Linked DNA regions of Tamandua tetradactyla. The protein of the gene in region 2 purifies or fractionates together with the protein of the main gene of each other region. This does not show direct contact. Links are inferred from orthologs where the notes say so. Each region holds a gene or a part of one and is shown on either strand. Other genes may lie near its edges.

Region 1 (7,110 bases), on a different chromosome or scaffold from region 2:
GAAATAATGGTGGGGGAGTGGGAACTAGACATGAGTGAGAGGAAGACTTTTACTTTTACTTTTTATTTTATATATTTTTTGAATCATGTAAGTGTACTACTTAAGATTTTAAAAAGATAAACAAAAGCACCCTGATACTAATAATCTAAATGATGAAACACTAGATATCCATTTAAAAAATCATGCTTTCAAAGAATAATTATTGCCATATGAAAATGTTCACACTTTAATGGAAACAAACAAAAGCAGAGAAAAAAATTGACCACAATAATGCAAAATAATAATACTGTCATTTATCTCTATAAATGAAGTTTGTTGTTTCAGTTTCCTAGTATTACAGATGAACTAATAAGTGGTTGGATAAAGCCCAAGGAACTGGCTCCAAAGTGATTCATAATTTTAAATGCACATTGGTGCATCTGTGTACATAAGCACACACAAGAAAAACTGAAGGGAAGTAAGACAAAACATTTAACAGTGGTTATCTCTGGATGGTGGGATTATGAGTAAATTCCATTTTCTTCTTTACCTTTCTCTGAATTTTAAATTTTTTCTACTAAGTACACATGTTACATTGATAATCTGTCAATAACAGTAAATTTTTCTTACAGTAAAATCAGAGAAATAAACATAAAAATGCCTAAATCTTCCATTCTTATGCATGCCAAGCTGCCACAGACGCAAAAAGCTAGAGGCTTACTGCTCTTCATATTAAGAGTAGAGGCAGGACCAGAAGAAAGAGTCCAGCATCTAGTCTGTGAATCTTTATTCTACATGACCATCCTCTTCTGGAGGACCGGTTCTGACAGAACTGCCAAACAAGATGTGTAGACGGTGACAACACATCAGAGGAGCTGTGGTATTTTTGTACAAATGTCCAATCATGCCACTTCTAGACAGGAGCATGTATATCATATGTGCTGCAAGAAAAAAAAAGCCTAAACAGAGAGTGGTCAGTGGATGTCCCAGGATTTCTTTAGCTTAGAGAAAGAAGAAAGAGAAAGTAGGAATCAGGTGAAAATGACTTAATAATTCAAGCAAAAAGGTTCTTAAGTTTGGGGGGGAGGATCGCAGATTCCTTTGAAAATTATGGACTCTCTCCTAGGAAAGAAATATATCTATGCACAAGAATTTTAGAAGTATTTCCAGATATCAAATTCTTTTCACAGATTCCAGGTTAGGTTAGGAATCATGGGTTCAGAGTCAGATTTCTATTTAATATAAGAAAGAACTTCAAACGATCAGGGCTGCCTCTGGGAGCAACTAGTTTTTTGCCCCTGGAGGAGTTCAAGCAAAAATCAGATGAGAAATTGGCAGATACATTATAATAGGAATTAAAATACTGGAGGGGACTGGCTTAAGATTCCATGATTCTAATGAGAGCTAAATTTGAGCTCAGTCAAGCCCATAATTGAACACTCTGCTGCTAAACTCTATATTCTTGCTGTGAAAAGCCAGAGAAGACAAGAAACCTACCTGTAAAGAATAATGTGGAGTTGTGAGAAAGCATAAAATATGTTCAAATCTACAAAGCAGGTAGAGTTACAGGTTACAGAACGCTCACTTCTCTAATTCAATCTTTACAACAAATAAAAGGGGGAAAGAAGGAAAGACATAGAACACACGTTAAGCACTCATAATAATAATAAAGATATATTAACTGAATGCTTAGCACAAGTACATACTAGACACCTTCGAGCAGTCAACAAATAACTGTTGAGCACCCACCATGGGCCAGGCACTGTGTTAAAAGTACAGTGAACAAACTAGATAGGATCCTTACCCACATTTCTCAACTCTTTTAATGGCTATTTTTGTCTCCAGTTTATACTTGAAGAAACTGAGGCTCAGAGAGGTTAAATAACTCAAGCTCACCTAGTTAATAATATAAGGGAGAGTCCAGATTTAACCAGACAATTGGAACTCAAAATCTATGCCCTTCTCCAGTGGATCTTGGTGCTAAGGCCACTACAACTTCAAAACAACTTTCCTAGATCCTTCCACAACATCAGGTCTTCACCATCTGTACAGTGATGATATCTCAAGTCCCCAGACACTGCAAATGTTTCTGCTGACAGCAGGAAGAACACAACTTTTTACTTACTTTAGCCTTTCCCAAGTCCCTTCACTTGACCCTCAAAGTCAGCTTCACCAGTCAGTGGGGGAGACACCATAATTTCCATAATATAAATGAGAAAATTAATGAACAGGAGCAAAAAGATGGTCTTTCCTAGAGATATAACCATAGAACAACTAAAAAAGGAAATGCAACCAACGAAATAAAAGTGATTTGTTAAAGGCTGGAGCTGAGCCTGAGTCCTGATCTCTTTAAAACAGAAGAAAGATGAACAATTGTTAGATAGGAGTTAGGAGACGTTAGAACAAACCAGCACTAAGCCTCCTGAGAATTATCAGAAGAAATCAGAGTGCAAAGGAGACTACCTGCTTCGCCAGTGATTAAATATATGCTATTTGGTGTAGTGCCCATTGAAAAGCATGCCCGGTGTCACTCTGGGAATTCTCAATTAACGTATTGCTAGCTCTTAAATAGTGCTTGGCACAGAGTAAGCCCTCAAAAAGCGTAAGCTGTCACTGTCATCGCCACTGTTCAGAGTATCTTACTCGATGTTACTGTTACTGTTGAGGAAGAACCGCAAAATACCCAGTTCCATACGACGGCCGACCTCAGTTCACCGTAAGGAACCGAGGCCTTTCCCCGCCGCTTCTCAGTAGAAACTGGGGCCTTAGGGTTCGCGGGCAATAAGAGGCGGGCAGGGCGGGGAACCCAAGCGGGGCTTGCCGCCTCCTCCTTTCCCCTCAAGGCGGACCCGGCCTCCTGCTGACCCCCGGGCGCTTCCTCCCTCTCCGAGCATCTACCTTCATAACTGCCAGGCCCGAAGGCCACCGGGGCTCGGCCAAGCTGTCCATGGTAGCTCCAGAGGAGTGTGGGGGCCAGCCGCCCAAGGGCCTCCGGCGATGCACTACCGCTCGAAATTCCCCGCGCTACTGCGCTACGTCATCAGCCTGCGACACGCCTGAGGGGTGCGCGGAGCCTGCCGGGAGTTGTAGTACGTGGGCGGAGGGCAGTTCAAGGTACTCGCACTGCGCATGCGCCAGGCTCATTTGGTAGCTTATGATAGAAAAAGGTGAGTCGTTTAAAAGCACAGAATCCGGTTCTTGCTTCTTATCTTGGGCTGTGCCGGTCCCGCCCGCCTTCCTGCGCGCCTCGTCACCATGCCTCGGAAAATTGAGGAAATCAAGGACTTCCTGCTCACAGCCAGGCGAAAAGATGCCAAATCTGTCAAGATCAAGAAAAATAAGGATAATGTGAAATTTAAAGTTCGATGCAGCAGGTACCCTTATACCTTGGTCATCACAGACAAAGAGAAGGCAGAGAAACTGAAGCAATCCCTGCCCCCAGGTTTGGCGGTGAAGGAGTTGAAATGAACGAGACATGCTGATTTGAACTGTATTAAAATTTTTAAAATTCAAAAAAAAAAAAAGCACAGAGTCCCAGAGCCTTGATAAATGAATGTCCATTGAACGCTGGGAAAGGGCTTCTAGAAACCGTAATAAGCCAAATCCAAGCCTTCCCAAATCTTTCAAGGGCTAAGCTCATCCCTCTTGCTTCGGGTCGTTCTCCGTGATAGCTATGAGAATCTATGTCTGCTCAGGGGTTTTCATATCCATTATTTCTTTTCACCGCTATCACAGCACTGGAAGGTCGTGTTATCATTATCAGTTCACACAAGACAGAGCTACAGTTCAAAAGAACAACGGAAGTTTCCTTGAGTCACACACAGATTTGGGATGACGACTCCAAATCTGACCTCTGAACTTTGAAGGTGGGGCTCGCTCTTCCATTCAAATCAAAATTTTGATTTAGAAGTTCTTCCTTCTCTTAAAAGATAACCCTACTAAAAGTTGGCATATAGCCCTCCAGATATCTCCTATGCAGGTACAAACATTGATACTCTCCCTAACAAATGTTAGATTAAAAGCATAACTCTGTTAACTTGTTTACTTCATCATGCATCTTGCGATTTCTCCATGTTAGTACATATAGATTTGCCTCATTCTTTTTAATGGTTGCATAGTCCATAATATCAACGCACCAAAATTTACCTAACTACTCTTATATTGAGGGACATTTAGGTTGTTTCCAGTTTTTCACTGCTACAAAGAACTGCAATGAATGCATTCCTCTATATAATCTTGGCACACTTGGGGAAAGCTATCTGGGGGATGGTTTTCTAAAAATAGAACTAGTAGAACAATTGTGTGTTCTTTTAAAATTGTGATAGCTACTGCTAAATGATTGTCCAAAAAGACTACACTAATATATTTACACTCTCATAATAGTGTTTGAGAGCACCTTTATCCAAATGCAAAGCCCTGACCAGCTCACCAACTTAGCATCATCAGCGTGCTCAGCTCTGCCTTCATACACTACCTTAGTTAGGCCTCCGTTGCGTCATGCCTGGAGGATAGCAAATCAGCACAGACACATCGTTCAGGGCCGAGCTAAGGACAAGACTCTGCAGCTTGCCACTGTCACCTCATGTGGTCCATGCATTCCTTCTTTCAACAAATACATTTTAAGAGCTTACCATGGCCAGACTCTACTACTTTCCTGTGGAGTAGGCAGAGGTGAGGTTGTTATTGCCATTTTACAGTCCAGAATATAGAGGCTCAAAAGGATAAACCTTGGCTTCACTCCTTTGGGCTTTCTTCATAAGGAACCTATACTCCAGTGAGTTTTTAACAGCCTACCTCCAAATGTTCATGGGGCAATGATAATGTCATCAGCAGCATTTGGACAAAAGACTTTAACATGCATTACAATAAAGTTGACATTATTAGGCCCTGTAGGCAAGAAGCTATTTTAAGTGTTTTTAAATATACTGACATTTAAGACTCTCTCCAACAAAATGAGGAAATGGAGGTAACCAGGACACCCTTCTGGGGAGTGGAAGAGGAGAGATTTGAACCCAGGCAGTCTGACGTGGGGGTTCACATTAACCATTACAAAAATATTCTCATAAGGACTTCTTCATGAGGATTATTTCCATATTATAGACCTAGGAACTGAGTCTCAGAGAGGCAAAGGGAATCATTCAAGATCACACAGCTTCGTCAGTGGCAGAGCCCAGCCTTGAACCTAGCTCTTTTAATCTCAAACCAGAATGGACACTTGATTGAAGAATAACTGAGTAGACAGGGCTGCAGGGCAGGACTGAGCCTGGGGATCCCAAGACCTTGGACCTCCTGGGGCTCCAACAGGAAGGAACCTGGAGGGGGCAGGGGATGAGGAGGTGTGGCAGTGAATTTGTCTCAGCCAATCGGAAAAGAGCATGCAAATGAACTCTAGGCTGCGTGGAAAGATGTTGGCTGGTTTGGGATACAGCGGGTAGTGGGGTGGGTTTGGAGAGAGAAGTTGCAGAAGGTGAGAGAGGGAGAGAGAAGAGAGAGAAGAGATGGGAAAAGGTAGGAGGACAGGTGAGAGGGAAGGATAGAAAAGGATAGAAGAAGGCAAGAAAGGCGAGAGAGAGAGAGAGAGAGAGAGAGAGAGAGAGAGAGAGAGAGAGAGAAAGAAAGAACAGGTAAGGAGGAAGACATGCACTCTTTCCATCGAGCCATGAAAACCGATTTGGAAGCATGCGTCACTTGGTGGTAATGATTTCCAAAGCCATCTTCCCTGCTCTGACTTCCAAAGAGCCTCCAGAACTGTGCCTGGTGTCATTCATCTGAGCATTCCTGCCACGGCTGCTTGGACAGTCGGAATGAATGAACGATTCACCAGATATGCCCACAGTCCCATAAATCTTTTCCTCCCAGACTGAGCCACTGTCTTCCTGCCCTCTTCAGCTGCCCCAGAGTGATAGATAGATAACCCTCTCCACCGGAGAAGGAATAAGAAGGTTCTGAAAGACTTCTTTGAGCTCAGCACAAGGCACTTGTCTTAACCTCTCCTCACTGGGCAATTATCCACTCCCGGGATCCATTCTCCTGTAACAAGCTTCTGTTTCCACAGACTTTCTTTTTCAGTTAGAACAATAAAGAGGTTGCACTTACTTATTCAGGAGTTAGAAACAAAATGTTCCGTATATATAAAAAAAAAAAGCAGGTGAGTGCTCAGTGGAATCTCCCATGGAACTTAGCACACAGTGAGCATCAGGGATAGGGCTGCCAGGTAAAATACATAACACCCAGGTAAATTACAATTCCTGATAAGCAACCAGATCATTTTTTTTCTAGTATAAGAATGTCCCAAATAATTCGTGGGATTAATATTTGTATATTTTTTAAAATCTCCCAGGGTGAACGGGTAGTTCAGTGGTTAGAATACCCACCTTCCATGCGGGAGACCCGGGTTTGATTTCCGAACCATGCACTCTTCCCCCCAAAAAAAGGCTAAAAAAAAATATCTCCTTGTATTTTTATTTGCTCAGTCTGGCAACCCTAATCAGGGAAGCACTCTCCTGGATGAGTGTGGGGTCTGGCCTGATTGCACCTTGGCAGGTTCCATCCTCTTAGTGCCTTTCCAAGCTCTCTCTTCATCACCCTTCCTTCCGCCCTCCATTCCCACTTCTCCTACGACACTGTTCTCATTCTCATTGTGGAATGGGGGTGCTATTGAAGGAGCTCAGGGAACCCTATCTTTCCCTCTCTCCCTCCATTTATCTTAGCAAATGTTTGTTGAGCTACTACACATCCTGTGCCAGATATAAGCAAGTATGTAGGAAAGTGAATAAATAAGATAATTTCATAAAACAACAAGTGATGTAAAGCAATGAAAGAGGAGGATGTACTTTAAATCGAATAACCAAGGAAGTACTCTCCGAGGAGGTGACATTTGTACTGAAACCGAACAGATAAGACAGAGGCAGCCACTCAAAGACCTGAGGGTGGGGAGTTCTAAGCCTTGGTTAAGGGTTTAGATTTTAATCCGTGTTAACTTGGGCAAGTTATTGAACCTCTCTGTGCCTCAATTTTCTCATGTGTAATATGGGGGAGAATATTATTTGCCCCATAAGCATGTTGTGAGAATTAGATGAATGATTACAGGTAAAGTGCTAGAATAATAGTTCCTGGTACCTCAAAACCACT
Region 2 (7,537 bases):
GCGAATATCAAAACCTCAATAATTCAGATGAGAGAATGCTGATCAGATTTACAGACTCTAGGCTAGACTTCACTGTCTGGTTTAAATAATCAAGGTCTGACACTAGCAATAATGCTTTGCTAAGATGATAATAAAAAATGAAAATATAATTCACCACTTCCAGCAAAAGTTAATTTATACAAAAACAACTGTGAATCCAGGGAATTTTTCCAGAGCATTTTTTAGAACTGAGTGCATTGCAACCTGGCAGAATGGAAGATCTTGGGGCCAGGGATCTGACCCTACCCCTTGATATCTTCCAGCTCTTGGTACAGAATAGTATTCAATAGATGTTTGCTGAATGAATAATGGAAATTATAAAAACCGAGTAAAACTCGAACAGTCTGTAATTCAGTAGATGGGAGAATGGCAGATAGATGGTCTGGTGGGTCTAGGCAGGCACGTGAGGAGTGTACTGGACAAAAGGTATAAGGTAAACCACTAAACTTATACTCCCTCTTTCCAGACTACAATAAGAGTTCATCTAAATTACAGTAGAAATTGGAATGAGTTTTCATAACTAAGTAATAAATGTTTCAAATTCTTAATTTCTTAGGGATATTTAATTTCTTACTGTCAAATTCTTAATTAGAAATATTCTTAAATATCCTAAAGATAGTTACAAAAATAACATATTACCTTGGAAAAACATAAATATAACAGAGAGAAGGAAGTTAACTAGTAAGTAAAGGGTAATAAAAACCAAATTGCTTTAATCTTTAAGGATTTCCATACCCTAAAGTGGGCACAAAGCAAGAAAAGACCATATTATCAGAATTTGTATTCTGATTTGTGTCACAAAAGGAAATGTTATTATATGCAAAGCAAAAAAAAAATTAACTTCCTGGTAAATTATGCTCGTGCTAATTTTACCTGAAAGAAGATAAGCAGTAGACTAGAGGATTCCCTAAACATTCATCCAGTATGAAATTGGAATGTGCAGGAAAAACGTAAAAGTCCAAGTCCCTTGAGGGTTTAGCTTCTACATTAGAAGAATGCAGAAGTCCACATTAGAAGGGTAATGGTTAACTAAGAATCCAAAATGTTTGTAGAAATGCTAAGTGGTTATGAAATGAATATGAATGTCAGGCTAAGGAAGAATCTGTGCATTTGCTCACAAAAAATAAATTATATTGGGGGCGAGCCACAGTGGCTCAGCAGGCAGACTTCTTGCCTGCCATGCCGGAGACCCGGGTTTGATTCCCGGTACCTACCCATGCAAAAAAATAAATAAAAAAAAAAAATTATATCAGGCAAATGAACTCTACTAGAGAGTAAAGGAAGAAATGCTAGAGGCCTGCAGAGGGGTGAAGGATGAGCCTTTGGTTACTGGTTGAAGAAAAAGAGATGGGAAAGGTCAGCGAAGCAGTTAATTCAAAGCAAGATAATGGTGAAGGTTTTTATATTAATTTTAAATAACTTTTTCCAAAATAGTGGATTTCAGTTCCTTTTTGAAGGATTACAGAGTTTTGGGTGACACATACAAGAAATTCTGTAAAATAACCATGAATGTAACTTTCAAGAAGGAATAGTTTCCTAACTTCATATGCACAGAAATGCCCACTAATTACTTATAACTAATTCTTAAAAACACAAATAGCCAACATTCACAATAGCTTCAAAAACCCTTATCGAAACTTTTGGGACCAAATATGTTTTAGAATTCTGAATTTATCACATTTTACAAAGGGCTTACTTTGGATGTATTATGTAAAGCCCCCAATAGGGTGTGGGGCTGTACCCCACAATCAAACATTAGTATTTCTCCAGCAAAACTTATGACTATTCACACTTGATAGAGACCATAAACGGCTATATATTAGCTCTGGTCAAGTTTGGCTGCTCAATGAGATTTGGTGCTAAATCTACTGAAAAGCTTTGGTTTTCATAGTTTTTTAGCTTCCGAATTAAGATAAGGGATTATGGACCTGTACTGCGATATTAGAACATAATTCTGTTAAACTTCTGCTATGAGATTTTTAAGCTTAAAATAAAAAAGACAGTACCAAGTGCGTATAGAATTTAAACATGTTTTATTTAGGAAGTCATTTGATAAAACTCTCCATAGCTCTCAGAAAGTTGGTCTAGGAAATCTTCACAAAAAAATTGGCCTCTGGGGAGGTGTAAAGTTACTGAAAAAGAAAACACATCACATTCCAAACCTGCATGTTCTTTTAAGTATGATTTACCGTGTATACTGGACTATAACGTAATTCATGGACAGATTACCCTCATTACATCTTACATAACTTCACCCACACTACAGAAAAGGTTTATAGTGTTAAACCACAGGGATCAGGAACTTACAATGTAGAAAAAACAAGTAAATAATGTATTAAGCGGGTAGGGCCTCGGGCCAAGCTATCTTAAAGGATAAAAATCACATTCTACCTAAGGCGGATTCCCCGTAGCCACGCAGGCTTATAACCACTAGACCAAGAACTGCTTCCCAACTACAGAAAAAGAAACTCGCACTCCCAGAAACCCCCGCGCGGAGGCGGGGCGGGGTTTTTTGCCAGGCTCCGAAATGCCGAGGCCTGAGATCGCGGAGGATGGCGGGAACTGGAAAAGTGGTCGGCCGCTGTCCTCCCCTCAAACCCTTGTCCCCGCGACCCGGCCCCTTCTCATGCCCTCTGCACGGTACCTGTCCCCAGGTCTCTCTGTTCTCTTTCCCGCTGCAGCAGAGACGGTACTACCGGGTCTCAGATGGCAGCGCGGGGGCGACGACCCCGGGGCTGGGGATGAGGGGAAACCTGGCCTAGCGAGCATGCAGCGCCTTGTCATGTCGGCGCCGCAGGCGACGGCGGCATGAGCTGTGGCTGGAGAAGTTGGATGCGTGGCTGCCGTCTTGCTGCTGGATCTTGGGGAGGCTGTCGGAGCAGAGGTGGGCGGCACCCCCTTCTCTCTTCATGGCGGGTCTCTCTCTTCGGAAGTGACTCGCGTGTGAGCGGGAAGGAACCTGAAGACCAAGATGGGCGGGTCTTACTCCAGGCGTCGCATCTTCATTGGCTGGCACGGCAGCCATTCCGGTAGTGGCGCAAAAGAAAGCCGCATCTTTCAGGGGAAGGCGGAGTTTCTGGAAGGAGGAGGGGAGGAGGAAAACTGCCCCTTCCCATCCCGTCACGTGCATGGGGGCGCGCGGGGCAGCGTTTGGGCCGCGTCGGCTTCAGCTGTGAGCCGGGGTGGGGAGGCTCGGGTGGCCGCGGGCTCTGCAGCAGCCGGCGACACCCGCCTGGTGGAGGGCGGAGGGCGAGGATTGCAGAGGCAAACCCGAGCCGGGCAGCTGTCGTCTGTGAAAGATGGCCAACAGTTGGTCTTCCTGTGCCACACAATTGTGCATTAGAAACCCCCAACTGTTCATTATCTCGCCTCTTTAGCATTTTAGGCCAGGGTGCCCTAATGCTGTCAGCCTTTCCTTCGTAGTGTGCAGTCCAATCTGAAGACTTGCCCATTCTGAGAGCGTACTTGTTAAGTGTTTGTGATACGATACGTCCCTTACCCCCCTCTCTTATTAAGAAGGGGGGAAAATCATTGAAAAAAAAAGACAGTATTCCACAAAAACATTTTGAGTTTCGGCTGCTGAAATGAGTTATCCATGAAGTCTTTACAGCCGTCTTCCTTGGGGTCTTTGAAAAGAACATGATGTCACTCTTCACTTATTCAGGTTATGTGTAGACAGCATTTATTAGCAAAAGCTGCCAAGTCTCCGATCCTCCTTTGTAAAGGGCTTGTGCTTTGGAGGCTGCTAGCTAAGGTTTTCCTTACTAGCTAAGAGATTGCTAAGATTATTTCGCAGCCTCAGTTTCCATATCTATAATAAAATGGGTTTAATACTCACTTGTCTGGGTAATTGTAAGCCATAAAAAGAGATAAGGGATGTGAACTGCTCATTCGAATTTCTCATGTAATGGATACTCATGAAATTATAGTTCCCCTTCGTTTGGTTTCTAGACAGGCTCTTACACTGAGTTTAACTTCCTACAAAAACTTTCAGAGACAGGTCAAATATTGTTATAATAGTTATTACAACTAGAATATCAATCTCAAGGATACCCGAGCTCTAGTTGACAGGCTTGTTCAATCATTTGGATGGTATGAAATCTTAAATGACTCAAAAGCATTTGGACAGGTCCTTAAAGTTTATTGCTCTGAGATTTAACTGCGTTTGTAGCTAGGCATGCCTGACTGACCTGAAATTCACCTCTTTCCCTTCCCCATAAGCTCTCAGGAGGCAGAACTAATGAGTAGTAAAGTGACCAAGAGGCTGACCAAGTGGAGGATGGAAGGTGAACTGAATATACAGGTCTGTCATTCATCCAAAAACCATTTCTGGAGGGCCTCTATCTACACCTACATAGTAGGTAGTAGGGCTGCAAGAAAAGAAATACCAAAATAAAAGGCACTTTTCTGCTCCTAATAACTGAGAATATATTATACCTAGCTTTGTTCGTTACATAAAATAGAACATAATGGGTGCTCAAAATCTGTTGACTGAATAATGACATGTATTTGTTTATTAGGGATATTGTACATGTGTTATTTCTTATCTGTTAGTGCTTTCTGTTGATTGTTTCTGCACTAGGGAGTTCCTGCTTCTATAATGGAAGACATCTACAAAATTTAATCCAATTTATTTCATAGCATATTTGTTCCATAAAAAGAGTAATGCATAAAAACATGTTCTGCATGATTAATTAGTTGTTTCCTTGGTTCATGGTAGTTGAATCATCAGCCTCCAAGATATCACTTTAAAGTCTGTACTCACACTATGAAACAATAGTTTTCACGTTTTTTTAATCCAAGCAACAGATTATTGAGTTAAGTGAGGCAAGAAATCCCTTGATCAATAAATGGAGATGGAGTCATAATGAAAACGCAATTTAAAAAAATCTCTTCTTAACTGTGAAGTAGTTATCTAAGTCCTCAGTAAGAATAACGGCTCTTTTTTATTTAAACCATGTTTGAAAATGATACAGATTTAGGTTGCAGGGTGAAATATACTCAACATACTAACTAGAATAGCTGGGAGCCTCTAAGAGTTTTTGTTCTTTCCAGATAGTTGTTGACCAGTCTATTTTGTGTTTATATTCCTCTTCCCACTTTAAATTTGTACATGTACACCACAAGCACACACATGTGTCTGTGTTACATGGCTAATGTAAAAGCTTTTTACCCATTAATTTGTAGTGGACTAGAAATAGATGGCCAGGAAACGGTATACTGGGTGAAAGACGTTAAAGAGTCTAGGTGTGTGTGTATGAGGAGAGAAGAAGGGAATGAAAAACTGGGGTGCAGGGGAGAGAATGATGAATAAAACATACAAGACTGGGTTGGAGACTTAAGACAAAACCTCAGCCAGGATTGGAAGATAGTTTGGAGAAATTAAATCTGGATGACCAGAAAAGGCTAATTTGGGAAGATTTCTGGGCAAGGTGATGAGGAAGCAAAGACTATAGAGATTGATTAGCTTCTATGGATGAAGTTTCTATGGGGTATAGCTCAGCTCAGTTTAGCATCCTGAATTGTTAAAAGACAAAAGGGGGAATACAGTTTCTGGCCTTGATGGATAGGGATGGGACAGCAACAAAAACAAAGTTACATGAACAATAGATCAAGTTGACTGGGCAAGTCCAACCCAAAGGGAGAGTCCTGAGAACAGTGGCAGTAGAACTGATGCCGGAGATCCAGGCAGTCACATAGAGAAAAAACAACTTGGGCAGATTAGATCAAGAAGTACCTTATAGCTCAGCAATCAGGGACTGAGAGAACAAAAGGTCAGTAAATTATGAATAATCTTACTAAAAACATGGTACTCTAAAAGTAATTTCTGGCTCTATAGTAGTGACATATATTTGGGCTGAGATTTCTGAGCTATGGAATAATCCAAGGCTTGTTGGAGGTTGCTTTAGGGCAAGCTAAGAGACAAAAATCTATTTGCTGCCGAGTTGCAGTATGTGTGTGAAAGTAAGGGTAGAGGGTGACCTGGGAAGCAGGGTAAGGAACAGACTCAGGGAAACGGGAAATAATTAACTTGAAAGCTTGGTAGAGACGGACTACGAGATGATCTACTAAAGAAGTGAAGCTGAGTTCCACATGTCAAGATCTACACAAATCACTTTGCAAAGGGATGCTGAATTCAAAACTGCCTAATGGGGCCACCAGGGCAAAGCCAAATGTAATGTAATGTCATTTCATGTGACCTAAACTTCCTGGGAATAACCAGTAAAACTGTGCAAAAGCAGGTTAAGGAAAGTAAGTTTATTGTTACTTTATTGTAGAGTGGTGAAAGATAGTGTTTCCCACACTTCAGACATACGAATAACTTCTCTGTGAATTTTAACATAGCTAAACATTCCCTATACTATTAGTTACCTAATATTTTTCTTTAAGTAACTTTTAAAATTTTAAATACATTGATTTTAGAAGAAAACTTTATATCATATCTATAGGTGAAAAATCAGAACCACTTCCCCCAAATCGAAGATAACTGTAAGGATTAATAAATAATTAGTAAAGTAATAAAATATATGTATTTATGCTATTTTCTCCTAGAGTTATCTTAACAGTGGTGGTAGGCCAAGGTATTACTTGTATGTCTGAATATGGGAAACAGCTTGGGAAATTGTTTTTAGGGATGCCAGCCTGTTATCAGGTTTTTTTCACACTTGGCTAACAACCCATCAAAGGGTTTTGAAATTGATATAATGGGCCATTATGGAATAGAAAATAATGGTACATTGCATGCAGTAATACGAGTAAATCTTGTTTTGAAAAACTTCTGCTCTTTGAAATATATATATATATATATATATGGTGGTGATGATATAAAAGGTATTTATATATATATATATTTTTTTAATTAATTTCCTTTTTTTTTTTCCACAAGGACAGGTGCTGGGAATTGAACCTGGTTCTCCAGCATGGCAGGCGAGAACCCTGCCTGCTGAGCCACTGTGGCCTGCTATTTATATATATTTTAAACATGGTATACATGTATAGTTATGTAAAATGTATTTCCTGTTGTGAACTGTGGTCAAAATATTTGAAAGTCTTTGCTGTAACCTGTATTCATGTTTCATATTTTGTGTATTGGTGATGCCCACCCGTGGCACTGAGCAGCCGAAGCTGCTTTGAGGGGGTGGGGGAGAAAGACTTCCTTTGGCCACTCCAGCTGACCCCTTTCAGGGGTCCTGCCCTGCCCTCAGTAATGTAGGGACTGTGGGTGAGAAATGGGGGAGAGGAAGGGAGAAGGATGAAAAAAAGCTAGAAAGAGCTTACATCCCTTGCCCAATCTGCCCCTCACATTAACCCCACTATCCTGGAACTCTCTATAGAGAGTCTGTTAGAGCTAATTCATTTGATCTCACACCTTTGCAATGCTCTTCCCAGAATTCAACACATCTATCACGACCCACCTATCTTTATCTGGCTCTAACCTGCCTTTACAGAGTCATTCTCTACCACTACTAACCTCAAGCTTTAAGCTTTGACAATGCCA

Evidence for each region. The genes of interacting proteins can lie anywhere in the genome.
Region 1: the proteins of SLF2 (region 2) and RAD18 purify together in Homo sapiens (affinity purification with mass spectrometry; 3 studies listed by BioGRID and IntAct, with this or other methods). This does not show direct contact. The link is inferred for Tamandua tetradactyla from reciprocal best matches to the Homo sapiens genes SLF2 and RAD18.

What each region holds. Positions count from the first base shown.
Region 1 is NC_135335.1:40,212,090-40,219,199, reverse strand, and holds the start of RAD18 (E3 ubiquitin-protein ligase RAD18), read right to left. Parts: upstream 3,008-7,110; 5' UTR 2,929-3,007; coding exon 2,878-2,928; intron 1-2,877. UniProt on the Homo sapiens protein: E3 ubiquitin-protein ligase involved in postreplication repair of UV-damaged DNA. Postreplication repair functions in gap-filling of a daughter strand on replication of damaged DNA.
Region 2 is NC_135339.1:62,474,072-62,481,608, reverse strand, and holds the start of SLF2 (SMC5-SMC6 complex localization factor protein 2), read right to left. Parts: upstream 3,004-7,537; 5' UTR 2,824-3,003; coding exon 2,684-2,823; intron 1-2,683. UniProt on the Homo sapiens protein: Plays a role in the DNA damage response (DDR) pathway by regulating postreplication repair of UV-damaged DNA and genomic stability maintenance.